4 separate regions of the Mus musculus genome follow, and regions 2, 3 and 4 are each reported to be linked to region 1. Evidence: microRNA targets listed by miRTarBase, many of them from high-throughput screens and not tested one by one. Region 1 holds a microRNA gene; each other region holds the end of a gene's coding sequence.
Evidence for each region. The annotated mature microRNA mmu-miR-9-5p reads UCUUUGGUUAUCUAGCUGUAUGA and lies in region 1 at 2,108-2,130, opposite strand. An mRNA with a match to its seed (bases 2 to 7 or 8) in the 3' UTR can be bound and repressed. Matches are read on the target gene's strand: a 7mer-m8 pairs with bases 2 to 8, a 7mer-A1 pairs with bases 2 to 7 and ends in A, and an 8mer does both.

Region 1 (4,072 bases):
CCTTAGCAGCCTAACCTCCTAGCCTCTATTCCTCCTTTTCCTAAAGCCTTCTACTCTCTTTTGAAGAGCCTGTGATCCAATGTGCTCATGGGAAACAATAATATAAAACTACTGTGGTTAGCAACTGAGACTCTAAGTGTTCCTGGGAATATGTGGTGTGTGTGTGTGTGTGTGTGTGTGTGTGTGTGTGTGTGTGTGTGTGTGTTTAGGGGGACTCTAGGATGCCCAAGAACTTGCTGTGTAGACAAGGATGACTTTGAATTCTTGATCCTTCGTCCTCTACTTTGCAACTGCTCAGATTATAGGCCTGTGCTATGATAGAGGGCTGTGTAGCCCTGGCTGTCCTGGAATTTACAGTGAAGACACTATACAGGAAACATTAAAGATGGTAATGATAAGGAAGCTTATTTTATTGATGCCCCTCCTCTGCCCATGCAAATTCCCAATAACAGAGAGGCTTCCCTTCTTTCTACTTTCCCAGTTGGCTCCCTTGGGGTGGGGAGTGTCACTTTCTCCAAGACAGAGTAAATGGAAGGAGCTTTGAGTGTCAAGCCAGTGAGTAATGTCAGCTGCTCACTTGTGCCTGTGTAACATGGGATCACATGGCATCTCTCAAGCAGCGGAAAAAGAAAACAGGCTGTGGCCAGACCATTAGTTCCAGCCTAGACCCAGCCTCTTTTCTCCTTGACTTAAGCTTCATCCCCACCACCCCTACCAAAACAAAACAAATTCCAAGCTTCTGGAATTTAAGAGGCCACTCGACTCTCCCTCCCCTAACTGCTAAAGAAGACACACACAGGCAATAGATTCCCTGAAGTCCCAGAATTTGAATTTGGATTCTCTAATATTTCCCCCCATGTAATACAAAATTGAATCATTATCTTCTAACTGTAAAATCAGGTCCCGGGAGGAAATTTTAAATTTATAAGAACCAGCGGAGTCTGGGTGATGACATTTTGCCCAGTTTTCTGCCTCTTATTAGTCGGTACAGCCCAGGTCTCCAAGTGCCAGCTGGTCAAGTTCGGCTGAGGGCCATGAGAGCAGAGGGGATTCCTAGCTCTGGCCATGTTTGTTAGACCATCTTCTCAGCTGTAGAAACCCTCTTTCACTAAAATATTTAGGTCAGGCAAGATAAATAGATTCTTTTTACAGGAGCCCAAATTAATCTCTCTAATTCTTTGCGTTCTCTGGGCAGCACAGCTACACATTCCTTTGTGTTTGAGCTCCACAGAGCTCCTTGAGGCCATTTGTTCCTTTGGGACACGATTTCCAAGAGTGAGGTTAGGACCGAAAGGTGGGATGCTCTAAAGCCCCCCACCCCAACTCTACACCTTTAGCCACTAATGACAAAGCAGCCAGAGAGAGTTCAGTTAGACTTAGCTCTGGTCCTGAAGGCCAAAGTGAAAGCAAAGAACCTGCGCCCCAGGGTCCCAGAATTCCTGTGGGGTAAAAAGGTCTCTGGCCACTCTGGCCCTTGCCCTTGTGGTTACTTTGTTTCTGCATCGCCATTCTCCCTAATAAGTTCGATGTGTGTGTTGGTTTTTAAGCCTTCCCCGCTCCTAGACCTGTTCCCACCTGGGCAATCTTGACTCCCAGTAAAGCTGAAGGGCTTCAGGGAAACCACCAAAGCAAAAACCAGCTTTCTAGAGACATCCTACGAACCTCGAACTCCACCAGTCGCTTCGAAGAGCCAGAGGGAAGCTGCTCACACCAGCCACCCGCTCCCGGGATGCGTCGAGACCGGGAGAGGGATGCTTGCACTTTCCCCCCAACCCTTCAGCCAAGGGCTCTGTCTCTCCCGGGAGCGGCTTCTCCGGACTGAGGCCCAGACTGCTCCATTTTGACCAGGCCTCCAGAGGCGACCCCAGAGCGGCTTCTTGCTTTCTTCCCAGGTGAGCAGGTTGCGGGTGGGGATCGCGAGGTGGCTCGGGCTGAGCAACCTTTGAAGGCGACGAGTCCCCCTCCCCCCAGCCCTCCAGCCTCCAGGCACGCCTGGCACGGCTCTCCCTCCTGCAGCTCGGCCACTACCAGCGTTCCAGGCCCTCTGCGCAGTGTATGGGGTTATTTTTACTTTCGGTTATCTAGCTTTATGAAGACTCCACACCACTCATACAGCTAGATAACCAAAGATAACAACCAACCCCGCCTCCTGGCCGCCTCCTCCTCTTCCACGCAGCCTCCCGGCCACCGCCTGGACCTCCGTAGTCTCGAGTCGCTCGACGGCGGATGGGGGACGCGCGTGGTGTGGAGGCGAAAAGATGGGATCCAGGACCTCACGCACTATCACGACGAGACCTCAGAAAGGCGAGGAAAAGATGCTACCGCCGACGGTTCTGAGGTCGGGAATCTAGGCTGAAACCAAGCGGCCCCAAGCCTGACCGCCCATTTCCCACTCCCTCCTCCGTGCAGAAGCAGGGTTCCGCCGGTGCTAGTGGAAAGGCTCCAGGGCCTTCGTGCCATCCGGGAAGACCGCAGAAGCCTAGGCCGAGGCCTCCCCAACCTCCCACGGTGTCCACACCCTTCTCTGGAAGGTCGAGTGTGAGCTCCGCGGGGTGCGGCAGAGCCGAGCTCGCAGAGCTGCTCCGAGCTACCGACTGCAGGGGAGCGGCCGCGAAGCCCCGGACGGGAACCCCAGCACTGGGGAACCCCGAGGCCCAGAGGGAAGCCTGTGGCTGGCGGCGGGGTGGAGGGTGATCTAGAGACTCCCCAGCGACTCTCCCAAGGGCAAAGACCCCACCCAGAGAGAATCGGGCGAGCAGTCAGGACGTGGGGCTGCGGGTTAGGGCAAAGGGTGACCAGGCAGGTGCTCCGAGCCCTGGACCTACGGAACCGCGCGGGAGCCGGTTTTGTGCAAAACGCAGCCGAAATCATTCAGAGATGTGAAATATGCCACTGGGGGTCTGAGTGAGAGATGCCCTTAGTGGCTGGAGGGGGCTATCTGGACTGAACCCACTGGAAGGAGGTCCAGGGACCGTGCAGAGGGTGTAGAGCTCCGTGGTCGCAGGTGGCGGACGCGCGCGCTGGACTCTGAGGCGCTTTCCCCACCTCGTGCCCCACGCGGGTCAGGCCACTTACATCAAACCCAGGATGCCCAGTGGTAGTGTCCTGCGCGGTCTTCAGGCGCGTTCCTACCCAGGCAGCGCCACGGACGTGGGTCAAGGATGCCGGGGCTTGCCAGGTAATGGGGCCGAGCGAGAGCCAGCAGGGTGGAGCAGGGTCTCGAGTCCCAGCTCTCTCCTCAGCCTTGGCCGCTGCTCTGGCGGGGGCGCTCTCAGGCTCCGGACTTTTCATTCATCCCTTCACACTCCTTCCTCAGGTCAGCCCCTGATTGGCTATACCTGGTCTGACGTCACTGTCTCGTTTCTTCCCCCCCTCCCCCCCAGCCTTTCCATGCCCGACCCCCTCCCTCCCCAGGCCAGTCCAAGACGTGCAATTGGGGTGCCCCTCCCCCAGAGAATGGGATCCAATGTCTTTATGCCAATCCTTAGTCTTTTGCTGCCTCATCTACAACCCGCCTGCCACGTCTATAATCCATTGCCAATTGCGGTTCTGATGGCCACCTTCGCTCTTCTTGTCGATCTTACATTTTCCTTTTGGGCTCTACGGTACATTGCACCAAGACCAGCACGCAAAAATAGAAAATAAATAGGGCAAAATTCCCTCAAAGAGAAGAGATCTGTAATCTCAGCACCAGGAGGTTGAGGCAGGGATGCGGACTGGAGACTCTATCTCTGACCCCCTCCCACCTCACCCCACCGTTAGAGTCTTTTTGAGTTCTAATTCCTCCCAAACTGTGATCCTAATATTTAGGAGAGGCAAGGGTCTCTTTTGTTCAAGGTTTTCAACTCAAACCCTCACTGAAGGGAAGACTGTGCAGTTTGAGTCTCCTGCTATGAGACAATGGGCGAGCAAAGGGGGCCCTCTTTTCTGCATTTCAGGGGAATGTTCCTTGACCCTATCTGCAGATAACCACAGAATCCTAGCTGCTTTTGAGACTCAGAATTTGGCCAAGTCCTGGAGACCTTTAATAGGTCTTTCCCTCTACCCATGTTCCTCCAGGCTCCCAGGCATG
Region 2 (4,072 bases), not on the chromosome of region 1:
TGTGCGGTGGGATGCATTCACCCAACCTTGCAATCATACCACAGCATGCAAAGGGGTTTAGAAGAGAAAATAAGATTTGCTTAGCAACCTGTCATGTTCTCACTGAGAATGGGTCACAATACTGACATCATACCACCTATCAACTGAGAATACTGCAGTGACGGACACATTCCGAGTAGATAACATCCACAAGCCACTTTCAATCCCAATGAAGTACGAGATCCAGCCCACTCTCCTGTACTGAATGGAAGCTAACAGGATGAGCTCTCACCAAGATCACTAATGACTCCCCTGTAAAATAAGGTCAGAACGATGAGAACTGGGAATGCAGCCAAACTGGTCTCAAAGGAAGTTATCGTCTTTGCATCACAGCTCTGCCGAGTCAGATACGTACTAAGAGAAGACATCAAATTGCCATTGTCTGCTGAGTTTACACAGGAACAAAGATAGGCACGGGCAAAAAAGAAAAAAAAAAAAAAAGCCAGACACAAAAGTTAGCTAGCTAATGTGTCAGTCAACCTCCAGAAGGGTTAAAATAATGCAGGGGGCTGCGGCATTGAACCAGTAAGAAGGAAGTATTTCTTTTTAATGACATTTTTAGGTCAATGTCAGTATTAATATAACAAAGGCCTGAGATTTCACACAAACCGAAGTCACCTCCTTCATATGTCCTCTAAGTGAACTGTGACCACATGAGGAAAGTCAGTTTGGGCATTGCTCGGTTTTTATTCATAACTCTTGTGTATCTATAAAGATAAACCCATGGAAAAGGGGTCCACATTTGCCAAAGAAGAGCGACTATGTCCATTCTGTGTATCTCGTTCCATTTAACTTTCAAGTCCGACATGGCATTTCCATGGTTTGTCTTATTCCACTTTTTGCAGGGAAGAGGGCTTAAGATATATGAAAATTAAATTGAAATTATGCATCCATGAGCTGATGGCATAATTACCAAGTCAAATAAAGATACTGATGATGCTGAAACTCAGTAAAAAGAGACTGATACTGAATATAAACAATATCTAAAAGTTCCACATCTAAGGATCTAAAACATCAGACACATTCCATGGACACAGATTTACAAGTCAGTTCTAACGCTAGGAAAAGCCAAACACTGTTTAAATAGACCTCAGACTGCAGTAGTGGAGAGATTATTACTAACGCTGACAAAGGAACACAGCTGTAGGACTGAGCATGTCACACATGAGCAAAGGTCTAGGCACAAGACATGTGGGACAAGAGTCACCCCCAAGAGGACTTTATGATGTAACAGGAAAAGTTAGCACCATCATGAAGACTGAAGAAAGAATCACAGGAGCTCCTATGCACAGGAGGCGAGCCCTGAAGAAGGGTTATCAAGTATAGAAAAGACTTCTGGATGGTCTCAGAGGCAGAGTAAGACATGGGGAACAGCTGAGGTTTGCCCTGGACATTGTTGGCACCATTAATCAAAACTACTCAGGAAGAAAAGGCAAGTAGGATATGCTTTCATTTAGGGGAGAGGACCGAGTCAGCTGAAAGCTATGCAATTGGGATCGGACGTGAAATGCAGGACTAGGGATGGGATGCCCAATGAGCAAGAGCTGAGGACAGCAGCACAGTGTGCATGTGCAACAGACCTAAACCATGCCCTCACATGGCAGGAGAGAGCACCACTGAGGGATGGAGCACTGTTAGGGAGAGACTAGAAACGGAGCGAAAGGAAGGTGACGTGTCAGAGAGCAAAAACATTCAATGCGGGACCCAGAAGACTATGGCCGTTTCCTGTAAAGTGAGGCGCAAAGCTGACTGAAAGGTGACACAGGGTGAGGGTGAGGATGATGAAATTCATCAAGGCTGGCAAAAAAGAAGGCTGGAGAAACTGGCTTGAACATAGGAAGGTACGTGATCGTCTTTACAGACCAGAAAAATAAACCTGCATACGATTCTTTGCATAATTTTGTACTGATAAGCCCAGTTATTTTCACCTTAAAATATATTCTAAAATTAAAATTAACACAATGTTAAAGTATATACATTTTATAACTTAATACAAACATAAAAGCATTACCATTTTATGACAAATTTTATTTCTAAAGATCTATACAGTTTTTGTGACTATACTTCAGGATGATTTTTTTGCCTCTAATACCATGAGATATTAAATATTATTAACAATTTCTGCTTTAGTTCCAGAGTGATTGCTGTGATATAAAAGATTACATTGAGTATGTATACCTTCATCTTTAGCCCTCCTTCCCCACAGACAAAGTGTCTTCAGGGGAGCTAATATTCTGGACACCATTTTTCAAGAGAAAAGTTTAAAATAGTATTCTATTATTATGTTCTTAATGGTCTAAATTATTCTTCACAATAAACATGCTTGTTTTTTATTATATACACATGCATACATATGAAATTCTTGCCTAAAATACATGCATCCACCATCACAAACAATGATTAACCCTCCTTACAATTCTAAGAATGCCCCGTTAGTAAGGCACTCGTGTTTAGAAGCAGGACGTAACTACCAAATTAAATAAGATGTTTAAAGAAGATTTTTATTAAGCACAAACAACTTTTAATACATTATGAATACAATAGGAAAATGTCTTTCAATGAATATGATATATCAAAGATCTGAAGGGTTTTCTTCATATAGACATTAAAAATAATCAATTTTGAAGAATTACAAAGTAAAATTTTGAGGACACCACTATTCACTAACAGTCTAACTATGGTCTAAATATCCTACATCACCTGGGGAGGAAGGGCAGCCATGTTTTATAGAGAATTCCTAAACTCTGATTAGCACCATTCAAAGCTTAGTATTGGTTGTTTGGCTACAAACTGACAAGTCAGGTACGGCGTGAAAGCGAGGACTCAGTGCGGTGGTTACAATTCCTTCTCTTAGGATACCAGGAGTCTACAGTCTCAAAGCATGTTGTGACTATGCCTTGGTGGTGGAGAAATGTTAGCATTTAGAGAGAGACACGTGTCGTGGGAAGAAAGGAGGCTTATCCCGCTGTGAAATGCATCTTAACGAGCTGTGGCTAACCCCAGAGAATGCCAGCAGCAAAGAATGTGGGCGTATGACCTGCAGATCTGCGGGAGCTGGGGACATTAGCTCTCCGTGGTCACCAATTCGGGATGTCTCAGCTGCTGCCTTTTGAGACTGACCAGTTTCATTCTGTCCCTGATGTGCTCTGCAGTAGAAGCCATGTCACTTGGACTTCCAAAATATTGTTCAGTTCTAAAATTAGAACACACAGAAATCACACAGGTTAATCCAAATTCATTTAACTGTACCAGGTGCATAAAAGCAGATGTTATAAAATATGACATGACCTTTGAGTTCAAACTAGTTCATCTGGGGCACAGTGACTTGTACCTATAAACCCGTTCTGCTGGGGTTGCTCTTTTGCTGCCGGTAAATCATATGACACTAAGCTACTTTGACAGTTCAAATCCAGGTATCCCTAGAGATTTTCTCAGTGTAGACTATGAATGATATTCTTCCAAGGGAATAAAGTGGTAATTTTTTTTTCAATATGAATTCTAAATACTCACTGGAAGTTCATGACATAGCAGTATGTCCCTTGTGTCTCATTTAAGTTCTGTCTATCTGTTTGGCTCTAGGAAGCCCCCACTGCTGTAACCTGAAAAACCACAATTATCCCACCTGCAGTTGCAGCTGCAGCTGCAGTCACTGCTGGGCGGTAAGAAAAGGAGCCAAGACTTGGGCCCTGGCTTCTATCTTTTCTTCCATCACACTTCCACAAAGCGAGAATACCTTACTTGTACCTGATGGCGTGGTTTCTCTATTGCTTCAATTACATTTCCTTTGCCCTACCTCTCAGTGACTCACTGACAAGGTCTGCATCTCCAGGCATGAAACTCTTGATTTTTTGCCTGGCTTACTTCACATTTGAAAATAAAATGCAGGGTGCAGACCAGGGCCTGGTAACTCTCCATATGAAAAGCCCAGGATGCCTTAGAGCCTGGGATAAGATGACAGGTTTGGAGATGGACGGACCTGAGACTGTATCCTAAGGCCAACACCTAGACACTGGGAACCCCCGGTCTCTAGATT
Region 3 (3,000 bases), not on the chromosome of region 1:
TCTCTCTCTCTCTCTCTCTCTCTCTCTCTCTCTCTCTCTCTCTCTCTCTTTCCCTCCTCTTTTTAGACATGGACTTACTATGTTGTCCAAGCTGTACTTGGTCTTCTGGGCTCAAGCAATCCTCCAGCTTCAGCTTCCCACATAGCTGACACTACAGGTACACGAACGGAGCCCTCCTTGATCAGGAGACATTTATCAAATTAGTTACCTGATAAGGAATTGGCTTACACAGCCCTCTCTGTGGCCTTACCAGCCACACAGACCCAGAATATTCGGTGTGTGTGTGTGTGTGTGTGTGTGTGTGTGTAAACCACACCCAACCTGAATACATTGAAACAGAAAAAAAATAAAAGAAAGAAACAAAAACTCACCACACACATATTATTTTTCTTGTCATTATTACAACAACACGGTGTAAGGACTGACATAGCATTTACATCATATTAGGCATTATAAGTACTCTAGAGACGATTTAAATATAGGAGAATATGCATCATTATATGCAAATACTACACCATTCTACACGAGGGACTTGAGCATCCTCAGATTTTAGTATGCTGGAAGGTGCGGGGTGTGCTGGAACCAGTTCTCCATGGATACTGAGGGAAAACTGTCTTCTGTCTTTCCCACATTCTTATGTTCTCATCTGAGTTTCTGCTCCACTTGTCCTGGGCTACTTGGGGTGGGAGATAGGTCTCAATAACACAGGAACTCAACAAAATAAAACAAAAGTGTCCTCTGGCTTGCCTCTAGCCTTGCCTTAGATTGTTTGGCACTGGAAAACTCCTTTCTGATACTCCTATATAAAATGGCCTAGATTGGTGGTCTTCATGCCAAGATCTATGGATATTCCCAGGGACCTGGAGACCCCTGGAGATCTGCACTAGAAAGGGAAGCTGAGCTAGCAGCACCCCTAAACTCACACCCCTCGGAGCAGGAGTTTTAGACACAGGAGCTTATTGAAAGAACAGTCCTTAGGGGACCCTTGGAGTTGGATCACCAAGCTCCCTCCTGTCTGATCTGCTTGATCTTCTGAAGCCCAGCTCAAACCCATCCCTCTCCACGAGATCTTCCCGGTCACCTATTGCTGGGCACCTGAGCTCGGCAGTAACCCTGACCCACTAATGCCTGCTTCCCAGCAGGAGGCCAGTTCTCCGTTCCATGTCTCTCTCCCTTACAACACCCTTTCCAATGCAGGTGTTCAGTAAACTTGCAGATGGTGCCTGGTGTCTTGAGCTGTGTCACATGAGTGCTTTGGGTGGAGAAAGCTAATGGCCCTGAAGCAGGCAGTTGGTCAGGAGGAGACAGGGAGCCATAGTGGCAGGATGAGTCAGGAGAGCACTCTGCCACTGATCAGTGACACCGTCAAGCAACCTTACTGGGAGGCCTAGTCTTCAGAAACTGAGGACCTGATACCTAGACTTCAGGGTCCTGGACAACTCCACAAGAGCAACTTTGTGTTCTTGTCTTAACTAGATTCTGTTCACATTCTTCTGTCCCTTCGTACCTCTTCTGGCAAAGCCTGTCTGTACTCCTCAGCCATGAAAGAGGCACATCCTTGAAGCCTAAGCTTCAGCTCGGCTGCCTGTGACCCGGTAGGCCCATGGCTAGTAGGCATCTCAGAGAGTTTCAGAGCGGGGAAACTCAAAGGAAATGAGGAACTCTCCGGTCTACTCAGACTACAACTCTTTCTGGAGGTGGAGGCCCCAAGGGGAGGGAGGGCTCACAAAGAGAGGCTCAAGCAAAGAGACTGGGTAACTGCCAGAAGCAAAGGACCAAGACAGCCAGGGGCCCAGGGCCCTGAAGCTCACACTCAGGAGGAGACAGGGAGCTATAGTGGCAGCATGAGTCAGGAGAGAATCCTGCTGCTACCCAGTGACATGACTTTGGGGGACAATCAATCAACCATTCTCAGTGTCTTGACCAACTGCAGGCCACTGTGGAGTAACTTTGCAAAGGTCCAAGAAGACTGGCAGGTGTGGCAATGGTAAGGGGTAACTACTGCTCACTTACAGGGGAACATTCTGGAGTCAGCGTCCTATGGGGGAATCTTGGAATTTAGGGATACTCCAAAGCCGACCTTCCTGTCTCCTGCTTCTCTCTTGTCATCCACCTCTGTCCTGCTTTTGGAGAGCTTCTAGTCACACTGGTGAGTGTGAGCAGAACAGGACAGTGCAGGACAGAGGCCCGTGTTCACTTCCAGCCCAGAGAAGCTTCCCAAGAACTGAAGTGTCCCGATTAAGAGCCAATGAGAAGGGATGAGATTCAATAGGCTGTGGAGGTTCTTAAGGGTTTTTCTAGTCAGTGAGATACTCCAACTGGATCCCAAAGATGGAGTACCTTAGCGTCACTGAACTTCTTGTCACCCGGGAGACAGCTGATCAGCCTCCCCAATACCTGGAACTGCACATCTGGCCTCCCTCCTTTCCAGAGTAGGGGTCCTTGTTGGCACTGTGGGGACAGATGAGTCCTTAGTTGGTCACAGGGAGAGCCTGGTATTACCTTGCAAGGCCCTCCCACTGAATCCTCCAGATGCAGGGGTAAGTAGCAAAGAGATCAAGGCTAGAACATCTGGCAGGGTTTAGAATCCATACTTGGAGGGTAAGACATCATGTCAATAGGGAGAAATACCTTCAGGCTCTAGGCTAGTGTGGCATCTGCCTTATCTTCACCAACAGGGTTGTGGACCCTGGTCTGGCCTTCCTTGGCCTCTCTCAGCTGCTGTAGCCAGAGGTGTAGGTGCTGGGCCTACGGAGCCAAACATCTGGGAGATCTGGCTGACTGTTGGGAAGCATCACAGGGCTGATATCGCCTGGCCCTCCACGGCCCTTCCAGGATAAGCTGCTGTGGTGAGAATTGGGCATGTTTGGGTCATAGATGGTCTCCTTCAGTGCTAGCCAGAGGGTGTCGCGCTTCCCATTCAGCTGGCCCCGCTCAAGTATGGGGTGTCCAGTGCCATTCATGACTTCTGGGGAGGTACCCACAGAATCTGGCACACGG
Region 4 (4,072 bases), not on the chromosome of region 1:
TACTCTGGCACTAGCAACCCCCCACTTACTGGGTCCCTGCTCCCTAGTACTTCATCCTGCTCCTCATCATCTTCCTCCTGGAGATCATTGCTGGCATCCTGGCCTATGTCTATTATCAGCAGGTAAGGGCCTGGACAGGCCATGGGGTGTGCCTAGAACATGGCCCTGTCAGTCCCATTGGAGGTCCTGGCTCCAGCTTTGCCTTTGCCCAGAGTTTGATCCTACCCACAGCTGAACACAGAGCTCAAGGAGAATCTGAAGGACACCATGGTCAAGAGATACCACCAGTCAGGCCACGAGGGTGTGAGCAGCGCTGTCGACAAGCTGCAGCAAGAGGTGGGTGCCCCTAGAACTGCCCGCCCTCTCGGCATGGTGCCGTGTGCCGGCAAGCGCTGAGGCTCAGCCATGTGCCCCTTGTAGTTCCACTGTTGTGGCAGCAACAACTCTCAAGACTGGCAAGACAGCGAGTGGATCCGCTCTGGTGAGGCAGACAGCCGCGTGGTTCCTGACAGCTGCTGTAAGACTATGGTAGCTGGCTGTGGTAAGCGGGACCATGCCTCCAACATCTATAAAGTGGAGGTAGGTGGGTTCTCAGCAAGGGGCGGGGCTAGGCCGGACTGGTCTTCAGGCAGCCTGGCCCACCACCCTTCTCTCCCACTAGGGTGGCTGTATCACTAAGCTGGAGACCTTCATTCAGGAGCACCTGCGGGTCATTGGGGCGGTGGGCATTGGCATCGCCTGTGTGCAGGTCTTCGGCATGATCTTCACCTGCTGCTTGTACCGAAGCCTCAAGCTGGAACACTACTGACCACGATGATGTCAGGCCGGGCGGCCAGCCTTGCACTACTGACCACGATGATGCCAGGCTGGGCGGCCAGCCTTGCACTATGTCCCAGCCCCACTACTGAACACTACTGACTTAGACTGCTGACTGCCAGAGGTAGCTACCCTCATGCCATCGCCATGACCCCCCCTGGCATGCCACCTCAGGGGCATGCACCTTCAAGTGCCTTTCACTGCACACCAAAGTCCCAAAGCTCGAAGCAGCGTACTTGCCCCAGCATTAAGAAGGGGGGGGGGGGTGGGGGGTTCAAATGCCAGTGTTGGGCTAGGCCTGGCTAGTAGAATAGGGTTTAGATTATTTGACAGAAGTGCCTCTTATGCAGACTGCTTCCCTTTGGGTAGCTGTGATCTGCAGTAAGTCTGGGGAGAACCTGAGTACACCACTACACGTTGGGTAAAAGCAGGTGGGGCCTTTCTGGTTGGATTAGGCACCCTTCATGCCTGCTACCAGGAACTCTCAGATCTGCTTGCCCCAAACAAATGGTGTAAGCTGAGGGAAACTCCAACCCCACACTTGATGCTCTGTCCTCTCCACACAGGCCTCTTGCTCCTAACAGCTCAGCCCTGGCCTTTTCTCACTACTGATAGCATCATGTAAATGCTCCATGTTCCTGTACACTGTCTCCTTTTGGAGCATCTCTGAATGGAGCATGGCTGTTTTCATCTCACTGCTGTATTCCAGATGCTGCCCACAAATGCTCCTGCTATGTAACAGGTGCTCAATAAATGTAAATGTATAAGCACTCGAATCAGCTTGCTGACAGGACCTTATGGTCCAGGGTAGCTGGAGTACTCACAAGAGTCAAGGTTGGTGAAGCCCAATGGCAATTACAGTTAGGGTGAGCACTGGTAGCTGGAACATCCCCCCAGCCCACTGTGGCCTGGACTTGTCCATGCTCAAGGAAGAGTCTGTAGGCCTTGCTAGGGTCAGAGGGCAAGGGAGGCACCAGGGCCTGTTGGGGATGCCCTGGCTCCTGTTTCTCTGGCTTTAGCTCATCTAAGCAGCTGAGAAGAGGTCCTAAGCTGATTTTGTTCCCCACAGTCTTCTGTGCCAGCTGGAGGAGGCCACTATGGGTTCTCTGGACTCTAGCCTAAGGCAAAGCCTTTTTCTTTTTTTTTTTTTTTTAAAGATTTATTTATTAATATATGTAAGTACACTGTTGCTGTCTTCAGACACTCCAGAAGAGGATCTTGTTGCGGATGGTTGTGAGCCACCATGTGGTTGCTGGGATTTGAACTCTGGACCTTTGGAAGAGCAGTTGGGTGCTCTTACCCACTGAGCCATCTCACCAGCCCGCCTTTTTCTTTAAAACAACAAAAAACCAGGGGTGGGGTAGGGTGGGTATGCTATGCCACACACACCTTTAATCCCAGAATCCAAGAGGTAAAGGCAGGCTGACTGTTGTGAGTTTCAAACCAGCCAAAGCTGGTCTCAAAAAACAAAACAAAAAAACCCACCAAAATTCTCAAAGGGATCAATGTGCTAGAAAGAACCCGGGGTACTTGATGCAGATGCCTAGGAGCTAAAGCACTACACCACCTCCTTTGGCCTAGAGTAGGCTTCTTAGGACTACATGCTGTGGGGATTGGGTCAAGGGGCAGGGCTGCCTAGCTGTCGGGCCTGGGAAGATTCTGGAAACAAGATCCTCAGGCATGGGCAGCAGATAGGCTCACACAGCTGATGGGCTTTAGGACCCAAGAAATTCGTGAGGCCTGTGGCCTTGGGCGTACTCCTACAGTATCTGGGTTTGGTTGGGTGGCACAAGCCGTCCTTTAAACTCAACACTCGGGAGGCAGAGACTGATCTCTTTAGTTCAAGGCCAGCCTGGTCTGCAGAGTTGAATTCCAGGATAGTCAAGGCCAAACAGAGAAACCCTGTCTTGGAAAATGAAAGGTAAATAAATCTGGGTTTGATTCCCAATACCTGATGGCAGCTTATACATTCTATAACTTTACTCTCAGGGGATCTGGCCTCTGTGGGGACACAGTGATACAAAGACTTATAAGCAGACCAAATACCCAAATGCATAATAACCCTAGCACAAGGATTGGGACCTCCAAGCACGCTCAGCATTCCAAAGGAATATTGTCACCAGGCTTGGGCCCATCCATACCTGTGGATGGTGTGGTGCCCACATCCATTATGCCCATCCTGAACACAGGCAGGAAGCGGAGAGGCCCTAAAGCAATGTGGTACAAGACTACTGTAGGGCTACCTCGTTGATCAAAGTGGTCAAGGCCCCGGGGAACGGAAGCAGGGTACTCCTCCACAGGACGAGACTCCCAGTCAGATGAAGGGGAAGGAGACCAGCCCTAGGGGAAAGACTGGAGGCAGGCCAGGTAGCCTCAGAGACAGCACAGACATGGACATGGAGCACCTTGGAAGTTAGACCTGTTGGTGGTTCTGCAAACATCTTTACTAAACAGTTCCTTCCAGGGTAACAGGACTTAGCCACAGGGCCACAGCCAGGCAATACACCAACATCCCCAATAGCTCAGTTTGAACATAGCACGACAGGCTGCCCGTGGCCAGCAGGAGACAGAGGAGGGCAGGCTCCAGCGGTCACTTCTCTAGGGGTGCATAGTTCAGCAGCTTCTCAATCAGGTCCACGTGTGCTAGCAGCATGCGGCGGCAGCAGTAGCGCTTTAGGCCCAGAGCGTCCAGGGCATCCCTGTAAAGAGAAGAGTGAGGCTGGATGTGGTCTCTAGAGTCTGGATAGGTTTGGAACCACCTCCAGCTTGCCTCTGGGTATTCGTGTGGATAGGGGTTACCAGAGCACATCTACATAATCAGCGATTGAAACCTGACACCAGGCCATAGGGAAATGGCCTGGAGATTTCTGAAATATGTATCTAGATGCTCAGGGAGGAGCCAGGTGACCCTTTCCCCACCTAGAAGTTACACCTGCTCATGTGCCAGTCTTCTCCCATAGCATCCTGTATCCATCCTTAACAGCCTTCTGCCTACACCTGTTTTTTAAAATTTCGTTTTATGTGTATGGGTGCCTGATGCTCCCAAAGCCCAAAGGAGTTACGGACACTTGCGAGATACCATGTTGCTTCAAGGAACGGAACCTGAGTCCTCTTAAAAAACAATCAAACAACCAAACACACAAAACAGCCAGTGCTCTTAACAGTTGAGCCATCTAGCTGGGTGTGGTGGTGCACACCTTTAATCCCAAGCACTTGGGAGGTAGAGGCAGAGGCAGGTGAATTTCTGAGTTCGAGG

Region 2: miRTarBase lists Sestd1 as a target of mmu-miR-9-5p. The part of its 3' UTR that is shown has no 7-base or 8-base seed match.
Region 3: the mRNA of Disp2 is a reported target of mmu-miR-9-5p. The part of its 3' UTR that is shown has no 7-base or 8-base seed match.
Region 4: miRTarBase lists Cd151 as a target of mmu-miR-9-5p. Seed matches in the 3' UTR shown: 7mer-m8 at 1,023-1,029.

What each region holds. Positions count from the first base shown.
Region 1 is chr3:88,213,671-88,217,742 of GRCm38, reverse strand. It overlaps Mir9-1 (microRNA 9-1), which reads right to left and starts at 2,145; the gene lies at 2,057-2,145. The region is part of intron 2 of Gm3764 (predicted gene 3764); the gene reads right to left. Mir3093 (microRNA 3093) reads right to left here and starts at 2,572; the gene lies at 2,486-2,572. It overlaps Gm25641 (predicted gene, 25641), which reads left to right and starts at 2,073; the gene lies at 2,073-2,130.
Region 2 is chr2:77,184,029-77,188,100 of GRCm38, forward strand. Sestd1 (SEC14 and spectrin domains 1) reads right to left here. Exons shown (of 18, transcript NM_175465.6): 18 at 1-3,232. The coding sequence ends at 3,103. Among named protein-coding and RNA genes, the nearest start is that of Ccdc141, 15 kb to the left of the region's middle.
Region 3 is chr2:118,792,541-118,795,540 of GRCm38, reverse strand. It overlaps Disp2 (dispatched RND tramsporter family member 2), which reads right to left. Exons shown (of 8, transcript NM_170593.3): 8 at 366-3,000. The coding sequence ends at 2,715. Among named protein-coding and RNA genes, the nearest start is that of Gm38629, 4.7 kb to the left of the region's middle.
Region 4 is chr7:141,469,890-141,473,961 of GRCm38, forward strand. It overlaps Cd151 (CD151 antigen), which reads left to right. Exons shown (of 8, transcript NM_001111049.1): 5 at 48-122; 6 at 232-336; 7 at 421-579; 8 at 662-1,592. The coding sequence ends at 808. It overlaps Polr2l (polymerase (RNA) II (DNA directed) polypeptide L), which reads right to left. Exons shown (of 2, transcript NM_025593.1): 2 at 1,971-3,515. The coding sequence ends at 3,407. Among named protein-coding and RNA genes, the nearest start is that of Polr2l, 3.2 kb to the right of the region's middle.